3 linked regions of the Ovis aries genome follow. The main gene of each other region encodes a partner of the protein of the gene in region 2 in a complex. Links are inferred from orthologs where the notes say so. Each region holds a gene or a part of one and is shown on either strand. Other genes may lie near its edges. The genes, in order: LIN54, TFDP2 and LIN52.

Evidence for each region.
Region 1: TFDP2 (region 2) and LIN54 share a complex: the UniProt entries of both Homo sapiens proteins name them as parts of the DREAM complex. The link is inferred for Ovis aries from reciprocal best matches to the Homo sapiens genes TFDP2 and LIN54.
Region 3: TFDP2 (region 2) and LIN52 share a complex: the UniProt entries of both Homo sapiens proteins name them as parts of the DREAM complex. The link is inferred for Ovis aries from reciprocal best matches to the Homo sapiens genes TFDP2 and LIN52.

Annotation. Positions count from the first base shown.
Region 1 is NC_056059.1:98,538,932-98,543,182, reverse strand, and holds the start of LIN54 (protein lin-54 homolog), read left to right. Parts: upstream 1-1,423; 5' UTR 1,424-1,433; coding exon 1,434-1,470; intron 1,471-4,251. Other genes in the region: COPS4 (COP9 signalosome complex subunit 4), read right to left, coding at 1,113-1,186. UniProt on the Homo sapiens protein: Component of the DREAM complex, a multiprotein complex that can both act as a transcription activator or repressor depending on the context. In G0 phase, the complex binds to more than 800 promoters and is required for repression of E2F target genes.
Region 2 is NC_056054.1:247,417,108-247,421,470, reverse strand, and holds the start of TFDP2 (transcription factor Dp-2), read right to left. Parts: upstream 2,874-4,363; 5' UTR 2,524-2,873; intron 1-2,523. UniProt on the Homo sapiens protein: Can stimulate E2F-dependent transcription.
Region 3 is NC_056060.1:83,527,836-83,531,481, forward strand, and holds part of LIN52 (protein lin-52 homolog), read left to right. Parts: intron 1-2,164; coding exon 2,165-2,239; intron 2,240-3,407; coding exon 3,408-3,445; intron 3,446-3,646.

The sequences.
Region 1 (4,251 bases), on a different chromosome or scaffold from region 2:
TTTGTCCTCAGACAGAATAATTATCTTATAATTATCCCATCTTCCTGAGAGGGAAATTGCCCCACAAAGTAGTTAAGCCCAATAGCACTGCTAAATTTCCCAATGATATACTGGATTACATTTACTAGCAGACAAAATACATTACAGCCTACATAAAACAAAGTCAATGTTTCAATGGCCAGGTTAAAACAGGTGTAGCCAGTTAAAATGGATCAACCTGATCTTAGCTGTCAAATGTAAATAGGATCAATTTGAGAAGCACACTTGAAACAGAATGCATGTTAATTACCAAAAAAAAATTTAGTGCTGTGAAATCTACAAAGAGGAAACAGACATCTATCTATCTCCCTGTCTATCTAGATGTAATTAACACTGTTGAATAACTGTCTGCAGGGCAGGCACAAATCACAAATTTAAGTTGGCGTGGACTTAACCCTTCTACATAAATTCCGACAAAATTTCTAATCATGTTTAAAATTCTGCAAACATCACTACTCTAGACATCCTGACCCACGTTGTGGTGACATTCCTCCATGCCCTCCTTCAGAGTTGGTGGCAGGGAGAGAGAGTACCCAAAACACAACCCACAGAAGATGGTTCAAGTAGTTCTGGACGTCATGATAGCGGCCATACCTGAGCAGCCCCCGTCAGCCTCAAGAAGCCATCTCCGCGGAAAACTCTAAACCAAGGTTCCAGAATACAAATGGCCCTCAGTCAAAGAGAAAAAACGGGCGCAGCAAAGGCAAACAGAGGCCAGAATTCGGTGTGAGAGGCCGGCCAGCGAAGGGAAGGGGCGCCAGGGTAGGTTTAGAAGGCCATGGGCGCAGTCGTCCCACAGACCGCGCTTCCAGAATCTTTAGAGAACGGAAAGGATGCCATCAAGGGCTGAAAAAGTTGACAGCCACTCCAGATCTATGGTCCTGAGCGCTCCCTGCACAAGGTCCCCTCCAGTTTTCTGCTGCTCCCAACATCTGCCTCCACGACCGACCTCAGGCCCGCCCCCTTCATCTTCAGGCCCGCTCCTAGCTTCACATCCGAAAGCCGCCGTCAATCCAAGGAGAACAAGTCTCTGGCTTGCCTCTCCACCTCCCAGGCTCCCGGGAAATACTCACTTGCCCGCCAGATCTTTATGAGAGCCGCTCGAATTCATGAGCTGGGCCAAATCCTGTCGCACGGCTGCCGCCATCTTTCTCCCAGCTCGGCGGAGGCTGCGGGGCCTCTCGCGGCCGAAAGAAACCGAGTGTAGTCCTCCAGAGTGCGGCTAGAGGGAACCCGAGATGCCACAGAGTAGCGCCTGTGTAGGCCAGACCGCCGAGCCTGCGTTAGGTCCGCCCCCAAGGTTGATTGACGCGAAGCTCCACTCCTCAAATCCTAGGCCCGCCCGGGCTTCTCTTACAGGCTCGGGCTCACGCGCTCCCACTTCGGATTGGCGGATGAACTCCAAGGGACTGTGTCGCTTGTGCAACCCCAGTAAGTGCCCGATTCGCAAAACTTCGGGGTTTTCGTCAAGTTCCGTATCTCATATATGTAGTTTACCATCCCTTGTTCTTTAAGGCTGCACTTAAACTACCCGTGGTAAAGAACGAGGTTTTTTGTTTGTTTGTTTACAATTCACTACAGACCGGTACTTTTGTAAAGTACAATAAAAAATGTCCCCATTCCGTTCCTACTCTGCGTCTGTATATAGATTGATCATACATCTCAGTTTATCCAGGACAGTGCCATTTTCCATCTGTCGTCCTGGAGTAATTGTTAATAACATGCCCTTTCACTCTGGAAACTGTTCCATTTAGATGACAAATTATATTATAGCCTTACTTTGATACGTAATTGTATTTATGTATTTATATAGGAGTGCAAATTTCTGCAGCCTTGCCTACAAAGGATGTTAAACTTGAATTTCTGCCATTTTATATGTGAAAAAGAACATGTTCCTTATTTGGGGAAGGGGAAAGAAAAGTCCAGAACAAAGAAATCCTTTGAGAAAGTACTGTGGCAATTTGTTGTCGTTGTTCCGTCTCTCAGTCGTGTCCAAAACTTTGTGACCCCATGGACTGCAGCAAGCCAGGCTTTCCTGTCCTTCACTATCAGTTCAGATGTCCCTCCATAGTTAAAAACTTAGTGAGATCTCCATGCCTGGTAACTCTGAGTCTGGATATTTAGTTTCCTTTTGCCTAGGACAAAGGAAAGGATGGTTTTGGAGCGTCAACCAGCAGTCTCCACTACCGTTTGTCCCTCTGATCATAATACAGTATCTGTGTGTATCCTTCCTACAGTAGGATACTCAACCCTAAAGAAGAGAGTTCAAGTTCCCACTCAGTTTCTGTATCAGCTTAAAATCCAGGATGTCTGATAATGTACAACCCTCTCCAAAAGTTTGGATGTAATTGTTCATGGTCCAGACACATATACACTATAGAAGAAATTATCAGCCTCAGGCCCAAACATGTAATACAAAACAATAGAGGAGCAAGGACAGAAGCAATAGGATAACTACAGTTCCAGAAAAGTAAGAGTGTGAAACACAGTAGTTACTTGTCCACAGCAATGGTAGAATCCTGCCCAGGAATTATGAACACCCACTACCGTTGTTATATCTGCATGGTGGTGAGACACCATGGTTAGTACTGCATTTTGAGAGGATAATTGCATTGTTCATTGTATTTGGTGGATCCCAGCTTTGCCTTCTCGGAGAAGGCAATGGCACCCCACTCCAGTACTCTTGCCTGGCAAATCCACTGGACGGAGGAGCCTGGTAGGCAACAGTCCACGAGCAGTCTCTAAGAGTCGGACACGACTGAGCAACTTCACTTTCACTTTTCACTTTCATGCATTGGAGAAGGAAATGGCAACCCACTCCGGTGTTCTTGCCTGGAGAATCCCAGGGACGGGGGAGCCTGGTGGGCTGCCGTCTATGGGGTCGCACAGAGTTGGACACGACTGAAGCAACTTAGCAGCAGCAGCAGCTTTGCCTTCTAAATACAAGTTAACTGGATGTTGGAGGGTATTCCCTCTCTGCTGCTGCTGCTGCTAAATTACTTCAGTCGTGTCCTACTCTGTGTGACCCCAGAGATGGCAGCCCACCAGGCTCCCCCATCCCTGGGATTCTCCAGGCAAGAACACTGGAGTGGGTTGCCATTTCCTTCTCCAATGCATGAAAGTGAAAAGTGAAAGTGAAGTCGCTCAGTCGTGTCCGACTCCCAGTGACCCCATGGACTGCAGCCCACCAGGCTCCTCCGTCCAAGGGATTTGCCAGGCAAGAGTACTGAAGTGGGTTGCCATTGCCTTCTCCATTCCCTCTCTAGAGGAACGCTTTAGGACTTGAACAGTTGAGGGCATTTGTAGTCCCGGTTTTTCAGTGGGATTTTTTTTAACATAACTTTATTGAATATTCAGTAAACTCTGCTTCCTTTACAGACAGTTTCAGGTGCCAATAAACATACTCAAAGTCGTTTTTGAAGTGAGGTGTTAATTGCTCAGTCATGTCCAGCTCTTTGCGATCCCATGGACTGTAGCCCACGGGGCTCCTCTGTCCATGGTATTCTCTAGGCAAGAATACTAGAGTGGGTTGCCATTTCCTCCTCCACGGGATCTTCCCGACTCAGGGACTGAACCCAGGTCTCTTGCATGGTAGGCAAATTCTTTAATGTCTGAGCCACCAAGGGAGCTCCTAAAGGTTTTTTTTAGAAGTAGTCATTAAATCTGCCCTATATCCTGACTTCCATATGCAACCCATTCTTAACATCTTAATGATGATATCCTTGAAATCATCTGAAAGAATAAGCTTAAGTGAGAAGAGAACTCTGTTAATAGTTTGATTTTTGCTTCAGTGTATCTTTCCTTTCTGTTGTTTTTTGTTTATGTGTGTTTGCCAAAAAAAAAATCACATTGGGCTCTGAGAAATCTCTAAGCCAAGTTTTCTCTCCTGTAATTTAGGGTTACACAAGTCGTCAACTTTTTCAACTTAGTGAAGCTCCAGAATTTCCAGACATTCTGTTCTCTATCTACCCTGACTTCAAACTTTACATGTAGTACCTTATGCCTGCTTGCTCAGTTACCCCTGACTCTTTGCGGCCCCATGGGCTGTAGCTCTCCAGGCTCCTCCTTGCCCTGGAATTTTCCAGGCAAGAAATACTGGAGTGGGGTTTCATTTACTACTCTAGGGGATCTTTCTAACCCAGTGATTGAACTTGAATCTCTTGTGTCTCTGGAACTGGCAGGCAGATTCTTTCCCACTAGCGCCACCTGGGA
Region 2 (4,363 bases):
GGAAGTGTCTTTGAATATTTGAAAACTCACAGAAGAGACAGAACTAGAACCAGTGAAGAGAGAACTTTAAGTTCAATAAAAGAAATCATTTCTTAGAAGTTAAAGTTGTCCAAATATCTTTACCTCAGAACCTATGAACCTTCTCTCCAGAAAATATCCAAATACATATAATTTTGTATAAAGTTTTCAAGGGCTTACAAATCTACTTTTAAATCTATTTATGTCCTATCCCTAGAATCATATACCCCAGATTAAAATGGAAAGAATTCAAGTATAAGAGGTAAATATATTTAATCTAGAAAATTCATCACAACTTCAAATTCTATGATTCAAAACTCTGAACTCTATGCTTTCTAGTTTCTTCTAAGATACATTGCAATAAGAGCTTAAAATATGGTGCTGAGTTCAGAAAAAAAGTGAAATCGTTTGCCAAGAGACAATGTAAACTGACTACAAGATCTATCAGTAATAATGGCTTATTACTTAATCTTTAAAAGAAACATACCTAAGTTTAAAGATAAAAAAATAAGATACTAAGGTACTACTCATATCTAATATTTAATGCCCAAATTACAAAGTGCCTCCTTCTACTTTCAAGCCTTAATCTTTTCATCTTTCAGTGCCAGTTAACTGTTAAGGTTGACAAACTAAGAAAACAAAGGACTAGAAGTTAGAATACCAGGTTCTAACCTATGCCATGAACTTAATTTGGGCTTAATCTGTTTTTTACCATACTCTACTCTTTGAATCCTTCAGGTTGTGTTTCAGTGAATAATTTTCATCCACAAACACTTTCCACATTAAGGATAAATCGATCTGTACATCCAATTTCAAGCTGCATTGAGAGGACATAGCTCAGACAGTTAAGAATTTTGGCTGCAAGGAAAAAAACTTGAAAGTGCCAGCTGGCCGTCACCATTGCCAAGAGTTGGTGGGAAAGGTACATGATCACAAAATGGTAACATTAAGTATGACACACTTGAAAATTCTGTTTTCTCTCCTAATTAACCAACCACACATAATGAGAACTCAAAAACAAGAGTTTAGTAAGTCTTGGGCCTTTATTAAATATAAGCACCATACTGCTGAAACTGCAACTGTACTGCCAGGACAGGGCTACAGACACCATGTCTGCCATGAGACTAGGCTCTAGTTCCAGGCACAAGATGTTCTAATAAATAACATGCAGCAAGCGCCAGCGCACAAGTGTGATAGAATCTGGGGTCTAGACATTTGATTTTTCTCCCAGTGCTACTTAAGAATGGCCGCGGCCATTAAAGATTTATTACAGTAACAGGATAGCGATAAAACTTTAGCTAAATGGCAGGCCAACCAATGAAATGGAAAAGCAACATGCAATAACAGATCAACTAAATTAGTTTCTATTTAATTTTGTACAGTAGGCTCATGATTACACTGCATAAAGAACAGATGAATAACCTAAACTGTATCTATTAGGTAAAGATGATTTCAAGCCATTATGAGAAAAGTGGCCCAGAAAAAAAAATCAGGCTATAGAACTCAAGTGGAAAAAACACACAAAGATTTGGGAGAGAAAGGGGAAGGAAGGGAATGAGCTACTGACTTACTAAAAAGAGAGCAAAGAAGTGGGACAGGGAGTCTGAGCCCTCTGAGACAAAATGAGGAAGAAAAAGAATTCAAAGGCTCAAAGGGAGCTTTAGCAGTGAATACGGAAAGGGATGAAACTGTCTCAACAGGAAAAAACAAAAACAATAGGGGGAACTTTTCTAAACCATCATTCAGGGTGGTCAATTCAATGCCTAACTCATGCAGGGCAGGGCACTTCGTAGGACGCGAACTTCGTTCCAAATAGTTCCACCAATTACTCCATTTCCTCCTGGCACCACCCCCAATAGAGGGTTACTATTACAGATGAAGAAACTGAACCACACAACGCCCGGGAACACAAGCTGGTACCAGAGACTGGGAGTTCATCTTAGCTGCACTTCTCCCTGCGAGATCCTACAAAAATCTTACACTTTTCTATGGAAAGGAACCTTAAATCTATGGAATTTCTCAGAGTCTGGGCCCAAAAGTGATCCCCTACTTTAGAGGAAAGTTCCCCTGTGGAGGTTGCAAGGCTCTTCCAAGCGCACGAGGCTTTGGAACTCTGAAATACACCTGGTAGAGACAGATGGAGGCATGTGGGTCATGAAAGGAGAAGTCGGAAAAGTCAGACTTAGAAGCCATTCTTCTGCCCTAAAGATACCGAAAAAGTAGAAAGCAGCCCTTCCTCTCTTCCAGCAGGCGTGACTCAAGGACAGTGCCTCCCCGCAATTTGCTGTGTGTTGGGGGTGGGGGGTAGTCTCGGGTTTCCCACTCCCTTCCCCAGGCACTCAAGGGTTACTCGGCCGGGCCTGGAAGATTGCGTGGGAATAAACAGATGGGACCCAGAGTGACCAGGGGGCCCGGAGGGGCAGGGAGGGAAACCTGCCCAAGAACACGCCGGGCCGGGTACAGAGGCCCGCCGCACGGAGCCCGCGCCCGCGCCCTGGACCTTACCACCGCTTGGCTGCAGGGGACAAGGCGGCCGCGCAGGACTGTTCTTCGAGCTTGGAGCGCGTCTTCAGGCCCCTCTGCTACAGTGGCGCCCGCGCTTGGCGGCGCCCGGGTCCCAGGCGGACTCACACTCGGGGAAGGGTGGGCGATCCGCGGCCTGCCTAGTAGAGGCCCTGGAGTTCTAAGCCCCGGGACGCCGACCGCGCGCGCGCGCCTTCGAGCCTGCCCAAGGAGGAAGGGTTAGGGCGCGCCTCGAGAACCGAGCAGCGGCAGCGGCTGCAGCTGAAATCTTCGGCGGCTCCGTCCGCCCTCGCCCGGCCTAGCCGCGGCCCCGCTTCCCCCGCGCAAGCTTTGGCGGCGGAGCAGCACGGTGAGCGCCGATTGGCCCTCTGGGTGAATGACGTACGGCGCCTCTCCTCACGGATTGGCCAGGCTGGCGGTGCGTGCACGGAGTAAACAAACCCCGCCTCCAGGCTTCCCAAAGAGAGGAGGGGGCCCCCGAGGTGGAGGAGCGGGGTCTCAAGCACTCTGCGGGGTACCCGGATAATCCACTGGAGGTTCTCAGTGGATCGCCTACAACGGTCCTGCCGCGTGCTTCCCAGCCGCCTCCGGAGCAGGCTACAGGCCTGAGGCCTAAAATTATAGCCACACCCTCTCCCCCTTCCCCCGGCCTGGGTGGGAATCTTGACTTTTCCATCCGCCCCCATCCCCCCGGCCCCTTGCAAGAAAACCCCGATCTTTCTTAGAAAAAGGAAAACGGGCGTCCCTAGTTCCCAGGCACATCTCGGTTCCCAGTCATTTGATCAGTCACCTCTGGGGGAGCAGCCTAGAGGGGCAAGGGGACGAGTGATGAGGCCACGTGTGGGGCCAAGTTTGCAGTACCCTGTAAATTATTCAGACAGTGGGTTAAAGACTGCTAGGGTGTGAGATTTTCAACAACCCGGCAAGTAAGATCCAAACCTGACCAGGTCATCATGTCACATGGACGCTGAAAAGAAAATTGCAGCTCCCACCCTCAAATACCTGTCTATTTAGTTCAATGTTAATAATACATTCTGTGCCTATCTGAAAAATCATGTGTGAGTTTACATTTTAGTGGGCTTCCCCTGTGGCTCGGTTAGTAAAGAATCCGCCTCCACCGCGGGAGACCTGGGTTCAATCCCTGGGTTGGGAAGATCCTCTGGCGAAGGGAAAGGCTACCCACTCCAGTATTCTAGCCTGGAGAACTCCACGGACTGTGTAACCGATGGGGTGGCAAAGAGGCAGACGAGACTGAGCGACTTTCATTTCACTTCACTTACATTTTAGTGGGGTGGTAAAGATAATAGGCAAAAGAAATAAGCAAAATATAAGCTATGTTACATGTTGCGACACGCTGTGGAGAACAAATCTAGTAGACCAGGAATGGCTTTAAGGGATGGCCTGTCTTAGAGTGCTCAGTCAAGGTAGCAGGAAAGTGCCATTTAAATAAATACCTAAAGGAAGTGGGGGAGGTGAGAATGCACCTTTGGACCTTTCTCTGGGGTGGAGCGGTGGTGAGATAATTTCTGCATAATTGTACATAGATAAAGTCCTAGGCGGTCAAGAAAGCCCAATGAAGTCTCCTTGAACTGATTCTAAAATGCAAAAGCCCCAAAGGAGTCATTACCTTGCATTTTTCAGTAATGGATCAATAGATGTAGTTTCCACAGAAATTTTGTTGAGATTTCAACTTAAATACTTTTCAAACACTCTAGGGACAAAGATACAAAAATAAGCAAAACAGATGAAACCTCCATCCTCAAAGAGCTCAGTCTAGCAGGAGAGCTGGATTGTAAACCACCTCAGTATAATGTATAAATAA
Region 3 (3,646 bases), on a different chromosome or scaffold from region 2:
AGATTGCACTCATAAGTGAGGTTGTATTTTATTTGTTTTATTTCATTTATCATAATGCCTTCAGCGTCCATATAGGTTGTCACAAATGACAGGATTTCCTCATTTATATATGGCTGAATAATATTCCATTTGTGTGTGTGTGTGTGTGTGTGTGTGTGTGTGTATTTTCAAACTTTATCCATCAGTGAACAGTTAGGTTGTTCCCATGTCTTGGCTATTGTAGATAATCCTGATGTGAACTTGGGAGTTCCTTAGACTATTGGGAGGAAATTTTGGTTAGAAAAAAGGACATGTTGAAAGATTTTATAAATATGTACATTTTCTGGGTTCATAGCTTTTTTTTTCAGATTTTCAAAAATTTGGCTTACCCAGAACATGTTAGGAACCACTGTTTATATCATTAAATTAGCTAATTTATGCAGCTAATTTGTATACTGAGCACAAAGTAATGTACTTAACAAATGTTAACTGTTGTTGTTAATATTAAACACCTTCTGTGTTCCAGGGCAAGAGTGGAAAAGAAATGGTGTCAAAAAATTAGGCAGGGGCTGGGTCATATAGAATTTTATAGGTCACAATAGATATGCATTCATGAATTTAGCTGGGAAGAAGTCTTTTAAGCTGGAGAGTGGCTTGAACTGATTGACATTTAACTTTTTTGGAAAGTAGGTTTGAGAGTAGGGATGGGGAGGGGTAAGAATGGGAGCAGGGAGATGGTAAGAGCCTATTGAAGTGGTACAGGAGAGAAACGATAGTTTCTTGCTTAATTAATGAAATTTCAGAGTGTGGTTTAGATAGAAACTACTGGATTTACGAATAGATTGGTAATGGAAGGATGAAAGAAAGGGAGGCATGAAGGATGACCCCTGGGTTTTTGGATTGAGAACTGGAGTTGATGGTGGTGCTGTTTACTGAGATGGAGAAGATGGGGATTAAAAAGTTTTTCACACATAGAGATGTCACATAGTCACTTAGATATACAATGCTGAAGTTCGGGAAAATATTGGGGCTGGAAAGAGAAATATGGAGTCCTTGGCAAATAAATGGTGGTAAAGGGTATGGGACTAGATGAGATTTCCTTGGGAGACTTTCAGTCGAGAGTGAAGCCAGCCTACGGTGGGCCCTGAGTGGAAGGGGAGACTGAAGGAATCCGTGAGGAAGGGGAAGAACCAGCATAGTGCTTTTGTAGAAGCTGGAGTGTTTGAAGGAGAGTAGTCAGTGATTGGATGCTGCAGAGGGGTCATATAAGAAAGAACAAAGAAGTGACCACTGGGTTTAGCAACACAGGTCATCAGTGACCTCTGTGACAGCTGTTTCCATGCATGTAGGGGTAGAAGCCTGTTTGTGGTAGGCTAAAGAAAGACTGTGAGGTAAGGAAGAGGAGACAACAGGATGGACAGCTAAAAAACTTTTGCTATGAAGTAGTGAGGAAGTCATGGGGTCAAGAGTTTCTTCAAAGAAGGTAAATTCCAGAGCAGACTTACTTGTTGAGTATGAGCCGGTAGAGAGGGTAGAAACTGGTTGTGCAATAGATTATTCACTATGATGTCTTTGACAAAGCAAGAGAAATCCAGTGGAATCCAGAGCCTGAGCAGAGGAGTTTGTTTTTTCTGATAGCAGGGACTTCAGTGACTGGAAGGAGAGTCTGAGTATGAGTAAAGATGGGCTTCCCTGGTGGTTCATGTGGTAAAAAAAATCCTCCTGCAATGTAGGAGACTAGGGTTTGAACCCTGGGTCTGGAAGATTCCCTGGAATAGGGAATGGCAACCCACTCCAGTATTCTTGTCTGGAGAGTTCCTCGGACAGAGGAGCCTGAGGGGGCTACAGTCCATAGCGTCACAAAGAGTCGGACACAACTGAACGACTTAATACACACACAGACACTCACACACACACACACGAGTAAAGATACAGGTGGTTTTGAACATTCATTTTTCCCAACACCCTACTAAAATATTGTTTCCGTTTTTAAAGACGGGGAGAGTAAGGAAATCATTTGTTTGTGTAACATCATGGCACAGTAGCATCAGTAATCATAGAACTCAAATCTCTAGACTTCCAGGTGAGTGAGTGTTCCAGTTTATGTTCTTTGAGATTGATATGTCATAACATGTAAAATAATGTGTTTTGTTCCTTCTTGGCTTATCTGGGTGTTTTGTTCTAGGGGCAGATCTAGAAGCATCTTTGCTAAGTTTTGAAAAACTTGACAGGGCTTCACCAGACCTTTGGCCAGAACAATGTAAGTTTTTGGTTTCTTGATATCAAAATCAATGGGAAAACCAGTGCTACTTTGAGGAACATTTTTGAAGAGTTATCATTTAACTGTAATGATTAAAATTTTATTTCAGAGGAAAAGACTGAATTCTGTGGTCTGGTGGTAAGAATAGCTGTTTAGTAGTTCAGTTCTTTCAGAGCACAGTGTGACTCAGAAAATGATAGAGAACCTTTAAAAAAGAATTATTTATTTATTTATTTTAATTTTTATTTTTACTGTATTTTACTTTACAGTACTGTATTGGTTTTGCCATACATTGACATGAATCTACCACCGGTGTACATGAGTTCCCAAACATGAACCCCCCTCCCACCTCCCACTCAAAAGAATTATTTTTAAAAGCTATATCTGTAATAACTCAGACAGTGTGAAATGTATCAAGTAATTCCTTGCGTCCTTTAAGTGCTGATAAAGTTAACTGCTGTTGTAGTTCAGTACAGAAATTGTGTATTTTTTTTTAATGCTTACACAAGTAAGCAAATAAATATTTTAAAGTATATAGAGTTTTTTTTTGCTTTGTTTTGTTATGCGGTTGTATAGCAGATCAGTCCTGGGTGTTCTTTGGAAGGAATGATGCTAAAGCTGAAACTCTAGTGCTTTGGCCACCTCATGCGAAAATTTGACTCATTGGAAAAGACTCTGATGCTGGGAGGGATTGGGGGCAGGAGGAGAAGGGGACGACAGAGGATGAGATGGCTGGATGGCATCACAGACTCAATGGACATGAGTCTAAGTGAACTCTGGGAGTTGGTGATGGACAGGGAGGCCGGGCGTGCTGCAATTCATGGGTCGCAAAGAGTCAGACACGACTGAGCGACTGAACTAAACTGAACTGAGCTGTATTAGTGATCTACAGCTTAACTTAATTTAATGCCTAGTAATTTATCAGTGGATCTTCCCATGTTGATAGGTATAGATTTACTTCATTTTTAAATTTTATTGTCTAGATTTACTATAGCTTATGAACTCATACCCTATTTGAAAACCTAATAATATACAAGTTTTGATAGTATAAATGATTTCACAATGTATATCTTTGTGCACATGAAAGAGGATGACTGTGTATGGAAGTGCCCATTTCCTTACATAGTAGCCAATATTGAATGATTAATGTTCTGTTTTTTCTTTTTAGTACCAGGTGTTGCTGAATTTGCAGCTTCCTTCAAAAGTGTAAGTAATATCTCACATAATGAAGTTTTTCCAATTTTTTGCTTCTGGGTAAAATCTCAAGTATCTTTTAATTTCTTTATTGTCAAGAATAATGTTATTGCCTTCATAGTATTTTGTAACTGCAACCCTGAAAGTCTGTTTATATCATCATCATGTTAATGATGTTAATGCTCTATTTTGATATTTTGACCTTTGGCTATT